Linked DNA regions of Macaca fascicularis. The protein of the gene in region 1 interacts with the protein of each later gene in a biochemical or structural test. Links are inferred from orthologs where the notes say so. Each region holds a gene or a part of one and is shown on either strand. Other genes may lie near its edges.

The links.
Region 2: of the proteins of WNK1 (region 1) and OXSR1, one has a biochemical effect on the other in vitro, tested with the Homo sapiens proteins (2 studies listed by BioGRID and IntAct, with this or other methods). The link is inferred for Macaca fascicularis from reciprocal best matches to the Homo sapiens genes WNK1 and OXSR1.

What each region holds. Positions count from the first base shown.
Region 1 is NC_088385.1:1,505,181-1,513,893, forward strand, and holds the start of WNK1 (serine/threonine-protein kinase WNK1), read left to right. Parts: upstream 1-4,479; 5' UTR 4,480-5,426; coding exon 5,427-6,185; intron 6,186-8,713. UniProt on the Homo sapiens protein: Serine/threonine-protein kinase component of the WNK1-SPAK/OSR1 kinase cascade, which acts as a key regulator of blood pressure and regulatory volume increase by promoting ion influx.
Region 2 is NC_088376.1:100,189,752-100,198,267, reverse strand, and holds the start of OXSR1 (serine/threonine-protein kinase OSR1), read right to left. Parts: upstream 4,287-8,516; 5' UTR 3,956-4,286; coding exon 3,886-3,955; intron 1-3,885. UniProt on the Homo sapiens protein: Effector serine/threonine-protein kinase component of the WNK-SPAK/OSR1 kinase cascade, which is involved in various processes, such as ion transport, response to hypertonic stress and blood pressure.

The DNA.
Region 1 (8,713 bases):
ACATTGTACATTTTAATAATTGCTGACAAACTGCCCTCAGAAAAGGTTGTACTAAGTTACCATATCATTAACAGCACGTTTCCCCACATCCTTGCCAACACTTGATATTACCAATCCTTAAAAATTTTGCAAATTGCCATGATGGGGACACTAAAAGAAAAAAAAAACTTTTTTTTTTTTTGTGCTCAATTTACACCAGGCGTGGTGGTTCACACCTGCAATCCTAGCACTTTGGGAGGCTGAAATAGGAGAACTGCTTGAGTCTAGAGAGTTCAGACCAGCCAAGGTAACATAGTGAGACTTCATCTCTACAAAAAACTTAAAAATTAACTGGACATGGTGGTGCACACTTGTGGTCCCAGCTACTTGGCAGGCTTGAGCCCAGAAGTATGAAGCTACAGTGAGCTGTAATTGCACCACTGCACTCCAGCCTGGACAACAGAGTGAGACTCTGTCTCAATAAAAGATAATCTTTCAATTTTATGAGAGAAAATAATATATTTTAATCTGCATTTTGCTAGTTACTGAGTTTCAGCATTTTTTTCATGTTTATTTTTGTTATTTGCATTTACTGCTTTATTTCATTTTATTTTTTTTGAGACAGTCTCGCTTTGTTGCCCAGGCTGGAGTGCAGCGGTGCAATCTTGGCTCACTGCAACTTTCGCCTCCTGGGTTCAAGTGATTCTCATGCCTCAACCTCCCGGGTAGCTGGGACTATAGGCGCACACCACCATACTCGGCTAATTTTTGTATTTTTAGTAAAGATGGGGTTTCATCATGTTGGCCAGACTGGTCTTAAGCTCCTGGCCTCAAGTGATCCTCCCACTGAGGCCTCCCAAAGTGCTGGGATTACAGGTGTAGGCCACCATGGCATTTACTGCTTTCTAAATTATCTTTTCATATCCTCCTTTTCTACACAGTGGTTTGCCTTTTTCTCAGTGATTTAAGAGGTTTTTTTTTTCCATATCTTTTGGATATTAATCTTTTGTTATACAGTCTCCAGAGTTTTTCTGGCAGCTTGTGTTTTGTTGAATAGATTATCAATTTTGATATTGTCAAATATTTTTCTTTGTGGCTCTTGGATTGTTCTTTGAAGCCCTTTAGTACCTTATGTTCTCCTATATTTAAAAAATTCTTTAGATTTTTTTTAAAGTTTAGTTATTCAATCTATGTGGAAATTAATTTTGTGAACAGTCTGAAGTAAACTGACCTCATTTATTTTTCAAATGAATAATTGTCCAAGCACTGTTTATTATTTCGCCTTACTGACTTCAAATGCAATTTTCCTTATATATATATATGAACTTCCCATACATACATGAGACTGTTTCTGTACTCTCCTGTTTCATTGCCTATGCTTACCTCAATACCATACAGATTTAATTTTGTGGTTTTATAATATACTTTGATATAGGTAAAATCCCATCCCCTCTATTTCATTTATAATATAAAGTTCTTAAAAACTATTCTTCATTGTTTAGCTGCCTGATTTTCACTGCCTACTTCCAGATGACAGGGTTCCAGATGACAAAGAGGTAAAATAAAAATTACCCATAGGCAAGACAAAGGAGCATGGGAAAATGAGGGGAAGGAGACAAAGAAAAAAAGAGAAATGCTCTTAAGATGGGACAATTTTTTCCCCTACACTTCAAGAAGCAACTTTATGTATTAATATTATGCCACATTCAAAGTAAGGCAGATCTTGTGTGTTCAGGATATTTCAGTCACTGTCTAAATCAAAAGTGTCTCTTTCATTGCTAGCTAGTTACCAATGGCAGAAACCATGTAAACGAAAAATGTGAATGGATGGGAATAGAAAGAAACATGAATCAATCAATGTGAGAACATGAACAAGAACTAGAGAGAACAGAGAAATGGTGAGAGAGAATAACATACTTGTATCCTTGTGGAACCAAATGTCAGGAAGTCAAACCTCTGAGCTTAGTGCATTCATTGTATCCTGGTTTCTTTGTTACCTCTGTTTATGGTCACTTGATGTTTTATACGGAATACAGAGAGGTTGATTCTTTACTCGATAATTGAAACAACAGAGAAAGGAAAAGTACTATTAGGAATTATAGTAATGAGTAACAGAAAATATCATTTACTTGGAGATAGGTTGGTAAGCATTAAAAAGAACTGAGTGAGCCGGGATCAAGCCACTGGACTACAGCCTGGGTAACAGAATGAGACTCTCTCAAAAAAAAAAAAAAAAAAAGTGAACAAAAAAGTGTTAGTAAAATATGCACACCAAACAACATAACCTTTAAATCTAATCATTGTACGTAACAAGATTATATTCAACTTAAAATTGTATCTGTTTTCATTGTAAAGCTAACATTACACAAGTGGGAAAAGCTGTCTCCTAGGCAAGTGTGGTTTTAAGTCAACAATTAATTAAATTACTTACAATGAATTTAGTTGTTCCTGGTTGAAAAGACATGTTGATAGGGCATGGTGATTATCAAGGGACTTGTGTCCAATGCAGTGTGGCCAAAGTTTCAGGGCTCAGTAAACAGGAACAGGCAATAATAAAATCCTTTAATAACCACTCACACAAAAATATCCTAATTTTTTTATGGTGCCAAAAGGGAACATTGTGATTTACTGATCTTCTTTTAACTTGCCAATTTGTAATTAGCTGCCTTATGTTTAAAATCAGACTATTTTTCCTCCTGAAGCAACAATTGGGCAAGTTTTATTTGACTCAAGAAGTATAATAAAAATGTATTTTACGGCCATTTCTTCCCTTGCTTACAGTAGGTTTACGGTTAGAAATACACTCTTAATTCCATTTACCATAATGAGATTATTTACCATTACCAGCAGCAAACGAATGAAAGATACATTTTCTAGAGCAATGGAACACTAATATTTTAGTACTCTAGTTGTCCCTACTGAATTGGCATTTTAAAATGTTCACAACCTGTCAGCTTCATGAAACCTCACAATCATTGGCTTCAAACATTGTTGTAAACTCGAAAGGGTAGCTTGTGATAAACAACAACAAAAAGAGAAAGAAAACAGCATTAACCATTTTACGGATCAGATGAATTAACATGAACTGCACGGCAAGAATTCTGCAGGTGGAGCTCATCCGAGAACTGTGCTAAGGAACCTCCTGCCGAGTTCCTCGCTGGCTGCTCGCTCGCAGCGTGGTCCTCGGCCCGGGACGCGCGCTTCCGAGCTGGTTCCGCAGCGGGCGCCCAAGAGAGGCGGCCGCGCCCGGACGCTCTGATGCGGTTGCGTACGTTTTCCGCGCTTCCCGCTCTCCACCGGTTGGACCGAGGCTTTTAAACTGCCATCTGCTCCCGAGTCCGGCCTCCTACTCCGTCTGGTGCCCCCTGGTGCTCGTCCCCTCCGCATCTTGAGGAGCTGCGAGGAGCACAGGGGTCCAGGGAGACAAGGATGCTTTCAAGAAAAACATGCCATGGCGCCGAGCCGCAGGGATCCACGTTTCCCGGGCCCAGGGCCCTGGTAGACGTTGCATGTGGACACTGAGGAGCTCTGGAGAAAGAGGGGGTGTTGTTTCACGGAGCCACCCAGCAGAAGAAAGGTGGAAAATAAGTTTCAACCAACTACAAAGGCAGAAGTCAGCCCAGCCCCCCCAAGTGTGGCCAAAGACCCATAGATCCGTAGACCTTATCTTTTCTTGAATCCACCGCTCCCCCAACCCCGCTTTTATTATCTTTCAGGCAAAGCCAAGAGGGAGTTCACTAGGATCCCCCATTTCAGTCAGGCAGCCCTTTTTTGAGAGCCGGAATATCCGTGTCGGGCGGGAGCTGAGAATGTGGCCTTAATTGTTGAGGGGAGGAGGATGGAAGATAATCCTGTCTCCTCCTCCAATCCATTTAATCAATATTAATTTCATGCACCATCTTCACAAAGTTTCTTTTCCCCTCCTCCGACTCAGAACTCAGGCTCCGGTTATCCGGCTTTACCCTTCCCCTCCACCCCCACAGCCCTGCAGTCACTCAACACTACTGCGGCTCTCTCCATTAAAGATGAACAACAGATCATTTTTCATTGCATGGCAACCCTAAGAGCTCTCTCGCTTAGCAGAGCATGATGGGAGTCTTTCCATCTCCCCCCCACCTTCCTCTTTTTTTTTTTTCCCTTCCTTCCCTTCTTCCACAATTAATCCCTAAATAATGATTTTCCTAAGCTCGCGCGGACTTCAGGATGGGGTTGAGCGACCCGCGATGACGCTCCCATCAGCCTTTCAGAAGGGACGGTTTCTAAAGAAAACTACAACTCCCACGAGGCATCAGGCTACAGCAACCGCGAGGCATCACGGAAGTCGTAGGCACTTTTCTCCTAGGTCCCGTTCATCTCCTCCAACCCGTAAACTATAAGTCCCAAGGTGCCTCGGGGCTGGCACGCCTGCGCAAAACCCCGGAGCGAGGTGGGGGGTGGGGCTGCCCCGGGCGGCGGGGGGCGGGATCCGAGCGGGCTGTGTGGAGGCTTCAGACTCCCGGCGCCATTTAGCGCAGAGAGTTTCCCGGGCGGACGCGGCTCCTCTCTCGGCCCCTCCGCACCCCCGTCTTCGGTGACAGAAGGCGCCTGGTGGGGGTGACTGCTCTTTTCTCTCCCTGTTCCCCCTCACCCAGTCCTCTAGGTCTCCTCTCCTCTTGCCTCAGAGAAGCAGCGGAGCTCGGGCCCCGCGGTGAGCGGCCCTCCCCTCCCCGCCGTTCCCTCCGCCGTCAGCCCCCGGCACCGGCCCGGGAGGAGGCGGGTTCGCCAGGCCCGGGGCGGGCGGGGAGGCCTCGGGGAAGGGGGGGCCCGCTCCTCAGGCGCCGAGGCTCCGAGGCTCCGGCCCTTCGCCCCGGGGCGATGGGCGACCAGTGAGGCCGGTCCCCATCGCGGGGGGCGCGTGTGGGAGGCGGCGGCCGCCGAGTGACCGGAGCCGGGCCGCGGCCTTCCTCGCTCGCCTCGGCCCCTCCCACTCCCTGCCCCGGGGCTGCCACCGCCCGGGCGTCGGAGCTGGTCCCGTGCTCGCGGCGCCGCCGCCCTCTGGGCCTAGCCCGCCCGGCTCGGCGAGCGGGGCAGTGGGAGCCGCGTCCGCCGCATCCGCCTCGACTCGGTGCCGGCCCCGGGCCCTCCCCTCATGACTGCGGCGCCTCCGCTGCCGCCGCCCGCCCGGCCGCCGCTCGCCGCAGGATGGATGCGGACCGTGCGGCGCTAACCCCCGCGGCTCCGCTCCCGACTCGCCCGCCTTCGAGCCCTCCTCGCGAGCCGCAGCAGTCTCGGTGCCAGCGGCCCGCCTCGCCCTCGCTGCGGCTGGTCAGTGCTGAGTGAGGCGTCTCCGGGTCGGCGCGAACCCGCCCGGCCGCGGTGCCCTGCAGACCTCCGCGCGGGCGGCTCGGCCCTCACGCCCTTTCCATCCGCGACTCCGAGCCCGCTCGCCTCTCGCCAGCGAACCGACCATGTCTGGCGGCGCCGCGGAGAAGCAGAGCAGCACTCCCGGCTCCCTGTTCCTCTCGCCGCCGGCTCCTGCCCCCAAGAATGGCTCCAGCTCCGATTCCTCCGTGGGGGAGAAACTGGGGGCCGCGGCCGCCGACGCCGGGACCGGCAGGACTGAGGAGTACCGGCGCCGCCGCCACACGATGGACAAGGACAGCCGCGGGGCGGCCGCGACCACCACCACCACCGAGCACCGCTTCTTCCGCCGGAGTGTCATCTGCGACTCCAATGCCACTGCGTTGGAGCTCCCCGGCCTCCCTCTTGCCCTCCCCCAGCCCGGCATCCCCGCGGTTGTCCCGCAGAGTGCCCCACCGGAGCCCCACCGGGAAGAGACCGTGGCCGCCACCGCCGCTTCTCAGGTAGCCCAGCAGCCTCCAGCCGCTGCCGCCCCTGGGGAACAGGCCGTCGCGGGCCCTGCCCCCTCGACTGTCCCCAGCAGTACCAGCAAAGACCGCCCAGTGTCCCAGCCTAGCCTTGTGGGGAGCAAAGAGGAGCCGCCGCCAGCGAGAAGTGGCAGCGGCGGCGGCAGCGCCAAGGAGCCGCAGGAGGAACGGAGCCAGCAGCAGGATGATATCGAAGAGCTGGAGACCAAGGCCGTGGGAATGTCTAACGATGGCCGCTTTCTCAAGTTTGACATCGAAATCGGCAGAGGCTCCTTTAAGACGGTCTACAAAGGTCTGGACACTGAAACCACTGTGGAAGTCGCCTGGTGTGAACTGCAGGTAAAGCCCCACCTACTTCTTTATTTGAAGGTCCTCTGGATCCCAAATTTGGCTTGGCGAAGCCAGTTGATGGAGTTCACCCTTCACTTGGCATTCTCTAACTGTTGGACTCCGAGTGGGAGGGGGAGGTCAACTTTTGAAAGGGGTTGAAATTAGGAGAATGTGGAGCATGTGCCTCGGTGTTGGGATAGGATAAGAATTACTGGTAGCCAGAGGGATTTGCTACCGGGCAGGGGTGGTGAAGGTCATCTTAGTATAAACGAATTGTCTCCTGGTTTAGTGTCTGGCAAGGAACTTGGAATGAGGGGGGAAGTTGAAAGTACAGATGCTTCTTCCTCTGTGCGTTTCAGTCTCATCAGAGGCTCTGCAGTGATGAGCTGCCTCTGGGCGTAGAAGCGTGTTTCCATTCCTGAGATCAGGCTGTTCTTTTTAAATGAGAACGACCTTGTACTTTTGGATATATCTTACTTGATGGTTGCACAGGCATTTAGTATAAAATAAGTATTAAAAAAAGACTCTTCTCTGCCCCTTTTGGATGAATGCCTTGGCCGTAGTGACGTGCAAATAAATGTTTGATGTTGTTCTACCTAATGATGCTTAAGCCTTACAGTAGCAGCATTGCTCTGACATTGTTCGTTAAACTAACGTCTTTCAGCCCATTCACTATACAGCGAATAGTACAGGAGCCCATGCAAAATTGTGTAAGTGCTTTGAGAGTTGTAATGTCATCATCATTATTTTAATCTTATAAAATATTTTTAAGCTAAACTTTCCCAAGAGTCCAAAGGAGTCGCAATACTTCCTTTTTTAACCTCTAGTGGTGTAAATAATGGTGTGTCATTCTGGTTGACTAGTACATTCTAGGTTTAAACAGCTGAGTTTGCGCTACTTGTTGCTTGACTAACTGAAGCAGCTTGCTTGAATGTTGCCCTGACTGGGCATAGGTGAACATAGGTTATTAGTAGGAGCAGGGTTATACTGAAGGAAAAAAGTCAGCCACATTATGCATACATAAAAAAATGTCATTAGACCAGCCTGATACAGGATATGAAAATAACTGAATGATCTTGGAACTTGTTTTATCCATGAACTAATATGTTAACATGTAACCCTTTGAATGTCAGGTTCCAAATAATTAAGGCCATATCAAATGTGAAATTAACACAGCATGTGGAAGTAAACTTAAAAACTAAGAAGTTCTTTACAAACATAATCATTTCTTAACTTTTACAGTTAATGATGTAGAACTTCTAAGGTAGTGTGAAATTAAAAGTACTCATTAATTTTATAGTATTTTAGAATTGGAAAGGTGACAGATCTTAAAAAAAAAAACAACAACGAAAACTATTCCTTTTCGTCAGTCATACTCAAAAAACTTAGTCTGGGCCAGGCGCGGTGGCTCACGCCTGTAATTCCAGCACTTTGGGAAGCCAAGGCGGGTGGATCACGAGGTCAGGAGTTTGAGACCAGCCTGACCAACATAGCGAAACCCCGACTGTACTAAAAATACAAAAATTAGCCGGGTATGGTGGCACGCGCCTGTAATCCCAATACTTGGGAGGCTGAGGCAGGATAATAGCTTGAACCCGAGAGGCGGAGGTTGCAGTGAGTGGAGATCACACCATTGCACTGCAGCATGGTGACAGAGCGAGATTCTGTCTCAAAAACAAAAACAACTTATGTCTGATTCCTTTTGGTTTACAGGCAGAAATTTACAGAATTTACATTTCTTTCTTGTACTTTCGACGCCTATTGCTACTGATGCTGGAATTTTATTCTTCCATTATAGTTCTATATTTGAATAGGTGCTTTTTAACAATTTTTTTTTTCCTTAACCGGTTACCTTACTTTTTTGAGACTGGACCCAATTACTTGTTGAGCACTTTATGAATTAATTTTGTTAGTTTTAATTATTTCACTTCTGAGACTTTTCAGAATGTGATGTGTGTTTTCCCTTTATCACCTGGAATTTTCTGATACTTTATTATCTTGGAACTGATAATACAGTGAAAAAAAACTTAATTTGTCTAATATCATGATACAAACTTTGTCTAAGCTTCTCAGGTTTTCTTAGAACTGGTAGCTTTTTGGATTTTTAATTATCTAGGCATGGGCATGACTAAACTAAAGAAAATCTTATATTGCATATTATTTTTGAGTCATTTCCGGATTTGGCTGCAGAACTAGATGAATCCTAGCTTATTAAGTGGTACCTGATTTAGAAACTTCCATGTCATTTGTCTGTGCCTCTATAATTTTTTGTTTTGATTTTGAAAAGATTATCCTATCTGAAAAATCCTTTATAGCAGCAGTTAGGAAGTATTTTTGGTTTTTTGACCAGGACAGTTGCACTATATGCCTAATAAAGTATTCACTGGGTCAGTGTTTGAACTTTTATCTTTGGAGCCAAATTAAAGGACAAGCCCAAGGGATTACTAAAGCGTTGGGAAGATAGAAACTTTTTCCCTAAATGTATCCTTTTAATATACACATATTTCTGAAGCAAGACAGGAGAATATTGTGTTAAG
Region 2 (8,516 bases), on another chromosome or scaffold:
GGCAGGGATGGGAGGATCACTTGAGGCCAGGAGGTGGAGGTTGTAGTGAGCCCTGATCATGCCACTGCACTCCACCTTAGGTGACAGAGTAAGACTCAAAAAAAAAAAAAAAAAAAAAGGAAATGAAAAGAAAAAAAAAAACTACAGATGGGAAAATATTTAAATTAAATCATATATCAGATGAAGGACACATACCCAAAATGAATACACATACCCACACTTCTATAACTCAAAAAAAAAAAAAAAAAAACAAACAGCCAGGCACAGTGGCTCACCCCTGTAATCCCAGCACTTTGGGAGGCCAAGGCAGGTGGATCACCAGAGGTCAGGAGTTTGAGATCAGCCTGCCCAACATGGTGAAACCCCATCACTACTAAAAACACAAAAATTAGCTGGGCATGGTGGCGAGCACCTATAATCCCAGCTACTCAGGAGGCTGAGACAGGAGAATTGCTTGAACCCAAGAGGTAGAAGTTGCAGTGAGCTGAGATCTCACCACTGTACTCCAGCCTGGGCAACAGAGCAAGACTCCATCTCAAAAAAAAAAAAGAAAAGAAAAAAGAAAACAACCCAATGGGCAGTCCAACTGGACAAAAGATTTGAACAGATATTTCACCAAAGAAGATCTATGAAAGCCTAATAAAATAAGCACATGAAAGGATGTTCATCATCATTAGTTATTAGGGCAATGCAAATCCAAACCACAATGAGATACCACTTCATAACCACTAGGGTGGTTACACGCAAAAAGACAACAAATGTAGAGAAATGAGAACTCTTATAATTACTGGTAGGAACATAATGGTACAGTTACTTTGAAAAACAGTTTGGCAGTTTCTTAAACAGTTAAATTTGTGATACAACCCAGCAATTCCACTCCTGGGTATACATCCAAGGAAAATGAAACATATTCATGGGATGACTTGATGTGAATACTCAAAGCAGCTTTATTCCAAACAGCCAAAAAGCAGAAACAATCCAATGCCCATTAACTGGTGTCCAATAAAAAGGAACCATGTACTACATGGCAGATGGATGAACCTCAAAAAGCATTATGGGAAGTAAAAGAAGCCAAACGCAAAGGACCACATATTATATGATTACATTTACATGAAATGTCCAGAAAGGGCAAATCTATAGAGACAGAAAGTATATTTTGCCTGGGGCTGGGGGTGGGAACAGGGAGTGACTGCAAATGGACATGAGGCATCTTTCTGGAATGATGGAAATGTTCTAAAATTGGATTGTGGTGATGACTGAACAATTATGTAAATTTACTAAAAGATTATTGAATTGTACATTTTAATCAGGTAAATCTTATGGTATGTAAATTATATCTCAAATTTGTTTTTTTCAAATGAAAAAATATTTATGCTAAGTGAAAGAAACCAAACATGAAAGACCACATGTTATATGATCTCATTTATACAAATGTCCAAAAAAGGCAAGTCTATAGAGACAAAAAGTAGATTTATGGTTGCCTAAGGCTGGGGGTGGAAAAAGGGATTAACTGTAAGAAAGCACAAGAGATCTCATGGGGATGTTGGAAATACTCTAAAACTGGATTATCGTGAAGACAGTTGTACAACACAGGGAATTTACTAAAAATCACTAAACGTTCCACTTAAAATGGGTGAATTTTATATTAAATTATACCTCAGTAAAGCTGTTTTAAATCCATGAAAGATGGTCAAATCACATTGGAGTTCATAACCTTTTAAAAACCATGGACCACTTTGTGAATGTGAGGAACACTAACCCTATCCAGAAGACTGAGAGGCTACCTTTTGCCCACTCACAGACATCCTAAGGGTCTGAGGACACCAAATTAACAAATCACCAAATCTCTAGCGCCTTTGTAACTCTGAAATTCTTTGCCATCTTAACACCAAAGGCTTTGAGAATGACTACAACCACCCTCTTCACCCTAGAAAGATGGACACACTACCAGAAAAAAAATAAAAATAAAAACTCTTCTTTTAAAATGATGATAGGGAACCTCATCTTTACTTCTCTGACATCATTTTAGAATCTTCCATTTAATCCTTTCCTTCAATATGAAACTCTGACTGGCGGAACCAGAAGCAATCAGTTCAGACCGGGAACCAGCTGTCTTTAGAACCAACAAATACACGTCAAAGACCCAATAAATACGTAGCAAGCACACAGGCCCATGAAGTGGCTTAAGCAAAGATGTGATGTCTTTATTTAGTCCAGGTTTTTTTGTTTTGTTTTGTTTTTGTTTTTCCTACACAAACCAATACTGCTTTAAGCCCAGATTGTCTTACAACAAGAGGCAAGTTAAAAAAAAATTTTTTTCACAAAGTTTTTTTTAAACCCACAGTGAAATAAACACCGACACTCCCAAGGCAGCTAAGAAGTCTTCAGTTGGTCTTTGTTATAAAACTAATTTTAGGGCAGGATGCTGGCAAAGTAGACAATTCTCCTTCCTCCAATACACAGGTGTCTGCTCATGTCAGTTTGATTGAGCCTGTATAGCTAAACCCACCCCCTTTTGATTTCCAAGGTCACTGGGTTATTGTTGTCCAACAAATACTCCCCTCATCCCCAGGCCCCAGCCTCCTCCCAATCCCTAGGCTTCTGTGAGAATTACAATCTATGTTTGTGCAAGTTTTGGTCTCTGCCAACTGGGATTCCTGGACCCCCTTCAAATCTTTTCACACACCAGCCCAATTTATTGGATCACGTCAAGGCACTATTTGAGGGCCTCCAGTGATACATAAAATTCCAAAATCTGTAGCAAGGCTGAGAAGATCCCTAAGCTCTGGCTCCTCCCTTCCCTCTCTATCCTTGCCAGCCTTCCTTCAGGTCCTAAAACATACCAAGCTTTTCCCCTACTCAAGGCCACTGCATCTCCTCATCCCTCTGTAAGGAAAAATCTTCCTGAGGCTCTTAATCCTCACTTCTCATCCTTCAGGGCTCAATTGAAATGTCATCGCCTCAGAAAAAGAATTTTCCTTGAAATCACCCTAACTAGATCTCCAGGTTATTCTCTATCAGAACATCTTGTTTATCTCCTTCATGGCACTTGCCAAAACCTCTTCTTTTTAATTCCACCCCCCCACCACCACCAAGGACGGAGTCTCGCTCTGTCGCTCAGGCTGGAGTGCTATGGTGCGATCTCGGCTCGCTGCAACCTCCGCCTCCAGGGTTTAAGGATTCTTCTGCCTCAGCCTCCCGGGTAGCTGGGACTACAGGCGAGCCCCACCACATCCAACTAATTTTTGTATTTTTAGTAGAGACGGGCTTTCACCATATTGGCCAGGCTGGTCTCAATCTCCTGACCTCGTGACCCGCACGCCTCGGCCTCCCAAAGTGCTGGGATTACAGGCGTGAGCCACCACGCCCGGCCCTTTTTAATTCTTTTTGTCTACTTATTTAATGTCTACCTCCTCGACTAGAAAGTCACTTGAAAGGAGTCAGAAGCTGGGTCTCTGTTGCTCAGCGTGGTTCCTGCAGCTTCACCTGGAGGATCCCCAGCTCGCCCCAGCACGGACCAGGAGGAAAAAACTAAAGCAGAAATCGATGGCTGTGCCCACAACTTCAAGATCCCATTTCTCACACAGCCTCGGTAAGGCCTGCCCCACACCTGCACTTTCTTTCTCTACAAGACACATGGGTCGCTCCTGTCCACACATCGGAGAATGCTGTACACAAATCTCTCCTGAGCCCCCTCAAGCCCCACCCCACGCCGCCTCACAGGCGCGCGCCTCAAAACCCCCTTCCCGTCTCACACACGCTCGACACAAGCGTCCCACGAATTCCTGTGAGGGCTGCGCTCCCCGAGCTTCCGCGGATCCCCACGTTCCCGCGTCCCCCGCCGCCCAGCGCCGCGCCTTCCCCCTCCGCGGCGCCTGCTCTCACCGATCACCTCCTGCAGCTCGTAATCGTCCCTGTTGATGGACCAGGGCAGGGCGCTCGAGTCCTCGGACATGACGGCGGCAGCGGCTCGCGGTCCTCCCTCAAACTCGCTGACCTCGCTCGTCTCCTCGCCGCGCGTCTCCCCACCCCCAACAGCCGCCGCCGCGCCCCCACCAATCGTCTCGGAACAGCCACGGGTCGGACGGCGCCAGGGCGCGGGGTCACCGCGCGGCAGAGCGGCGGGGTCTCAGAGCTCCGGCAGACCTCGCCTCCTGCTCCTCCGCGTCCGGCACTGCCCGGCCCAGCCCACGTCCTGTCCTCGGCCTCCGCAGCAGCAGCGACAGAAGCTTTCCCTGGGCCCAGCCCCTCTGTCCCGCCCTCCACCCCAGCCCCACGCACGGGCCAAACTTTCCCTTCTCCCTCCACCTGCCGACACGCAGCGCGCTGACGTCACCGCGCTGGTCACGCCCCACCTCGGGCTCGCCTCCGGCCGCCATCTCCAGTGTGGCTGGATACAAAGTGAGCGAGCTAGAAACCCAAGAAGGTGGGAGTTGGCGGTGAAAGGGAAGAAATGTTTAGGTAGAGGTTCATCGAAGGCATCGAAAAGCCGTAGGAGAGCCTCAGGTAGCACAGAGGCAGTAGCCACACTAAGCATGGCGACCAAAGCGCAGCAAAGTAGAGGGGGCGGAGCCACTTCTAGCGCCTGGGGCACGTTGCTGGCTCCGTCGTCGCATTCATTGGTTTGTTTGAGAAGGAATCAGAAAAGCAATGGGTGTGGGTAGACGTCAGTCATAAGCTGGTCCCGCCTCCAGGCTCTTAGAGCGCTTCTCCGTGTTAGGGCTGCAGCCCTTCAAGAGCCCCATTACCCCGCTCGTCTTACCACTTCCTCTGGAGTGACGTCACGGCGTAACCGTCACACCCTCGAGACGTGCGAAAGCCTCCACGGGGTGTGGAGAAGCCCTGAGGGAGCGGCTGGGTGGGGTAGCCTTCGGGTGTGGACCACTGCCAACTAGGATAAAAGGCCTTGGGCCACCGGTCGGAGTGAAACTGGAAGTTTGCCTGGTGACATTTTTTTCAAGGCGGACGTTCTCTCTAAGGCATGCTGTGGCGCTGTCTCTCGCGGTTCCCTCCTGCATTGGGCGGGTTCTGTCCATTAGCAACTTTAGATCTGCAGCTCAAGCACCTGCCTTGAGGGCCTCGGAAGGCTTTTTCCCCCCGAACAGGGCTTGGGCTATTAAACAAGTCAGATCGACCCACAGATTTGGGGGTTGTCTCACGAGCCTTGGCTTTTGTCACCCCCACTGAACAGTTTTCTCAGTTTGACTACGTAGTGCCGTTGGAGAAATTAGCGAGCTGAAGACAACACGCTTGGTAAATTGGATTTTAAAAAATAAAGAGCATCTAACAGGAATAGGGCTAGGTGCGAAACTGTTCTAGGTTGGACGCATTTCAGTCCAATGGCAGTTATTAAGGAAGAGACCTTAGGCCGGGTGCAGTGGCTCATCCCAGCACTTTGGGAGGCCGAGGCGGGCGGATCACCTGAGGTCAGGAGTTCGAGACCATCCTGACCAACATGGTGAAACCCCGTCTCTACTAAAATACAAAAATTAGCCAGGCATGGTGGTACGCGCCTGTAATCCCAGCTACTAGGGAGACTGAGGCAGGAGAATCGCTTGAACCTGGGAGGCAGAGGTTGCAGTGACCCGAGAGCATGCCGCATGCCACCGCACTCCAGTAGCCGACAGACCGAGACTCCGTCTAAAAAAAAAAAGAAAAAAAAGGCTGGGTGCAGTGGCTCACGCCTGTAATCTCAGCACTTTGAGAAGCCGGGGGGTCGGGGCGGGGTTGGGGGGGGTGGGTGGATCACAAGGTCAGGGGTTCGAGACCAGCCTGGCCAATATGGTGAAACCCCGTCTCTACTAAAAAAATACAAAAAATTAGCCGGGCGTGGCAGCGCGGGACTATTCGGGAGGCTGACGCAGGAGAATGGCTTGAACCCAGGAAGCGGAAGTTGCAGTGAACGTTGATTGTGCCACTGCACTCCAGACTGGGCAACAGAGCCAGACTCCGTCTCCAAAAAAAAAAAAAAAAAAAAAAAAAACCTTTCCTGCAAGCCATTGGAAGTTCAGGGTTTTTTTTGTTCTGTTTTTTTGTGGGAGATGGAGTCTCGCTCTGTTGCACAGGCTGGAGTGCAGTGGCATGATTTCGGCTCATTGCAACCTCCACATCCCCTGTTCAAGTGATCCTCCTGCCTCAGCCTCCCCAGTAGCTGGGACTACAGGTGCGTGCCACCACGCCCAGCTAATTTTTGTATTTTTAGTAGAGACGGGGTTTCACCATATTGGCCAGGCTGGTCTCGAACTCCTGACCTTGTGATCCACCCACCTCGGCTTCTCAAAGTGCTGAGATTACAAGGGTGAGCCACCGCGCCCAGACTTTTTTTTTTTTTTTTTTTGAGACGAAACCTCGGTCTGTCGCCCAAGCTAGAGTGCAGTGGTACTATCTCGGCTCACTGCAACCTCTGCCTCCCAGGTTCAAGCGATTCTCCTGCCTCAGCCTCCTGAGTAGCTGGGATTACAGGCGCCTGCCACCACGCCTGGCTAATTTTTGTATTTTTAGTAGAGGCGGGTTTCACCATGTTGGTCAGGCTGGGGAAGTTTAGGTCTTAAGCTTGAGCTACACCAATTCTCCTCTCCTTGCTGGGAGTCCTGCCTGTCTACTGCAGCAAAACCTGTGTGGCAATCTGGCGTTACTGCACTGGGCAAGTAGATCTTAGTTTGGTTCTAAATCACCTCCAAGGCCGGGCGCGGTGGCTCAAGCCTGTAATCCCAGCACTTTGGGAGGCCGAGACGGGCGGATCACGAGGTCAGGAGATCGAGACCATCCTGGCTAACACAGTGAAACCCCGTCTCTACTAAAAAATACAAAAAACTAGCCAGGCGAGGTGGCGGATGCCTGTAGTCCCAGCTACTCGGGAGGCTGAGGCAGGAGAATGGCGTAAACCCGGGAGGCGGAGCTTGCAGTGAGCTGAGATCCGGCCACTGCACTCCAGCCTGGACCACAAAGCGAGACTCCGTCTCAAAAAAAATAAAAAATAAAAAAATAATAAAACACCTCCAAGCACTGGAAGCTTTGTGTGAGCTCTGCTGTGGGAGGTCCAACTGACCATGAAACCAGTCAACTAGAAGCTACTAGTGGGTTTCCACCTAGTTGGTAGGATTGGAGAATGTTTCATGAAGAAGGAAGTGTTTGTACCAGACCTTGCAAAGTTAACATGATTTCAATAGATGCACATTTAGAGGATAGAATAGTCCAGGCCCAGCAAAGGTGCCACAGTTCCAGAAAGCATAGCACAGGCCTTGCTGTAAGTGGTTTCAGCCATTACTACTGACACTTTCTTTACCGTATGTTCTGCCTTTTTCTTTTTGCAGGGAGGAGAGGGATGGGATCAAATGTATCAGAAAGGAGCTAAATCTGATGGTATTAGCTTCAAAGTTTGCACCAATAGAAAGGTCTACAAATCAGAAATCCTTAACTTGGGGTTGTTAAGCTGTATGACCCATGGACATACTTCAGTTTTGTTTTTTGTTTTTTGTTTTTCTCCCTGGCACAGTGGCTCAAACCTGTAATCCCAGCATTTTGGGAGGCCCAGGCAGGTGAATCACGTGAGGTCAGGAGTTCGAGACCAGCCTGGCCAACACGGTAAAATCCCATCTCTACTAAAAATACAAAAATTAGCCAGGCATGGTGGCTGGCACCTGTAATCCCAGCTACTCAGGAGATTGAGGCAGGAGAAACGCTTGAACCAAGGAGGCAGAGGTTGTAGTGAGCCAAGATCATGCCACTGTACTCCAACCTCAGCAAAAGAGTGTGAGACTCCATCTCAAAAAAGAAATTATATATATATATAATATATAAAAAATAGGTATAGAAATATAATAGGATATACTTCAGGGAGAGATTTTGGCAACCTTCCTCCTTTCTTCCCCTTCCCCAGTGAAAAGGAGCTGCTAATCTAACAGTGAAAATTCGAGATGTTAATTGGCCCATGTTCTTGGCAGGCAGGGTCACCAATGGATTTTGTTCTGCCTCCTCCACAAGCATAGCTTGATGGATTAGTTGAGCCAGAACCAGCTCTGCAGATCTGTTCATTTCATTTATCCTGTCTCCTTGATTTTCTCCATGTAGCCTGATAGAGGTTGGGATTCTGTGATTTTAATATGCAAGGAATTGGCAGCTCTTTGAGGTCAGAATCCAAACCTCAACCTCATTCTCAGCCTGTTGAGTACCTTCCATGTGAAAGAGAGTATTGTCATAAACACTGAGTATAAAGTGGTGACCAAAGCAGACTCAGTTTCTGTTTTCAGGGAACAGTCTCGTAGAAAACAGTAAGCAACTAAGCAAATCGTGTAGGAAAAGGCAAGTATACTGTGACAGAGAATAGTTAGGAAGCCAGCCATGTGGTGAGTACAGTTGACCCTTGAACAACACAGGTTTGGACTATGGGGTCTACTCGTAATAATACATGGATTTTCTTCTGTTTCTGCTACCCCAAGACAGCAAGACCAACCAGCCACTCCTTTTCCTCCTTGTCCTCAGTCTACTCAATGCGAAGACAATGAGAAGCCCTTTGT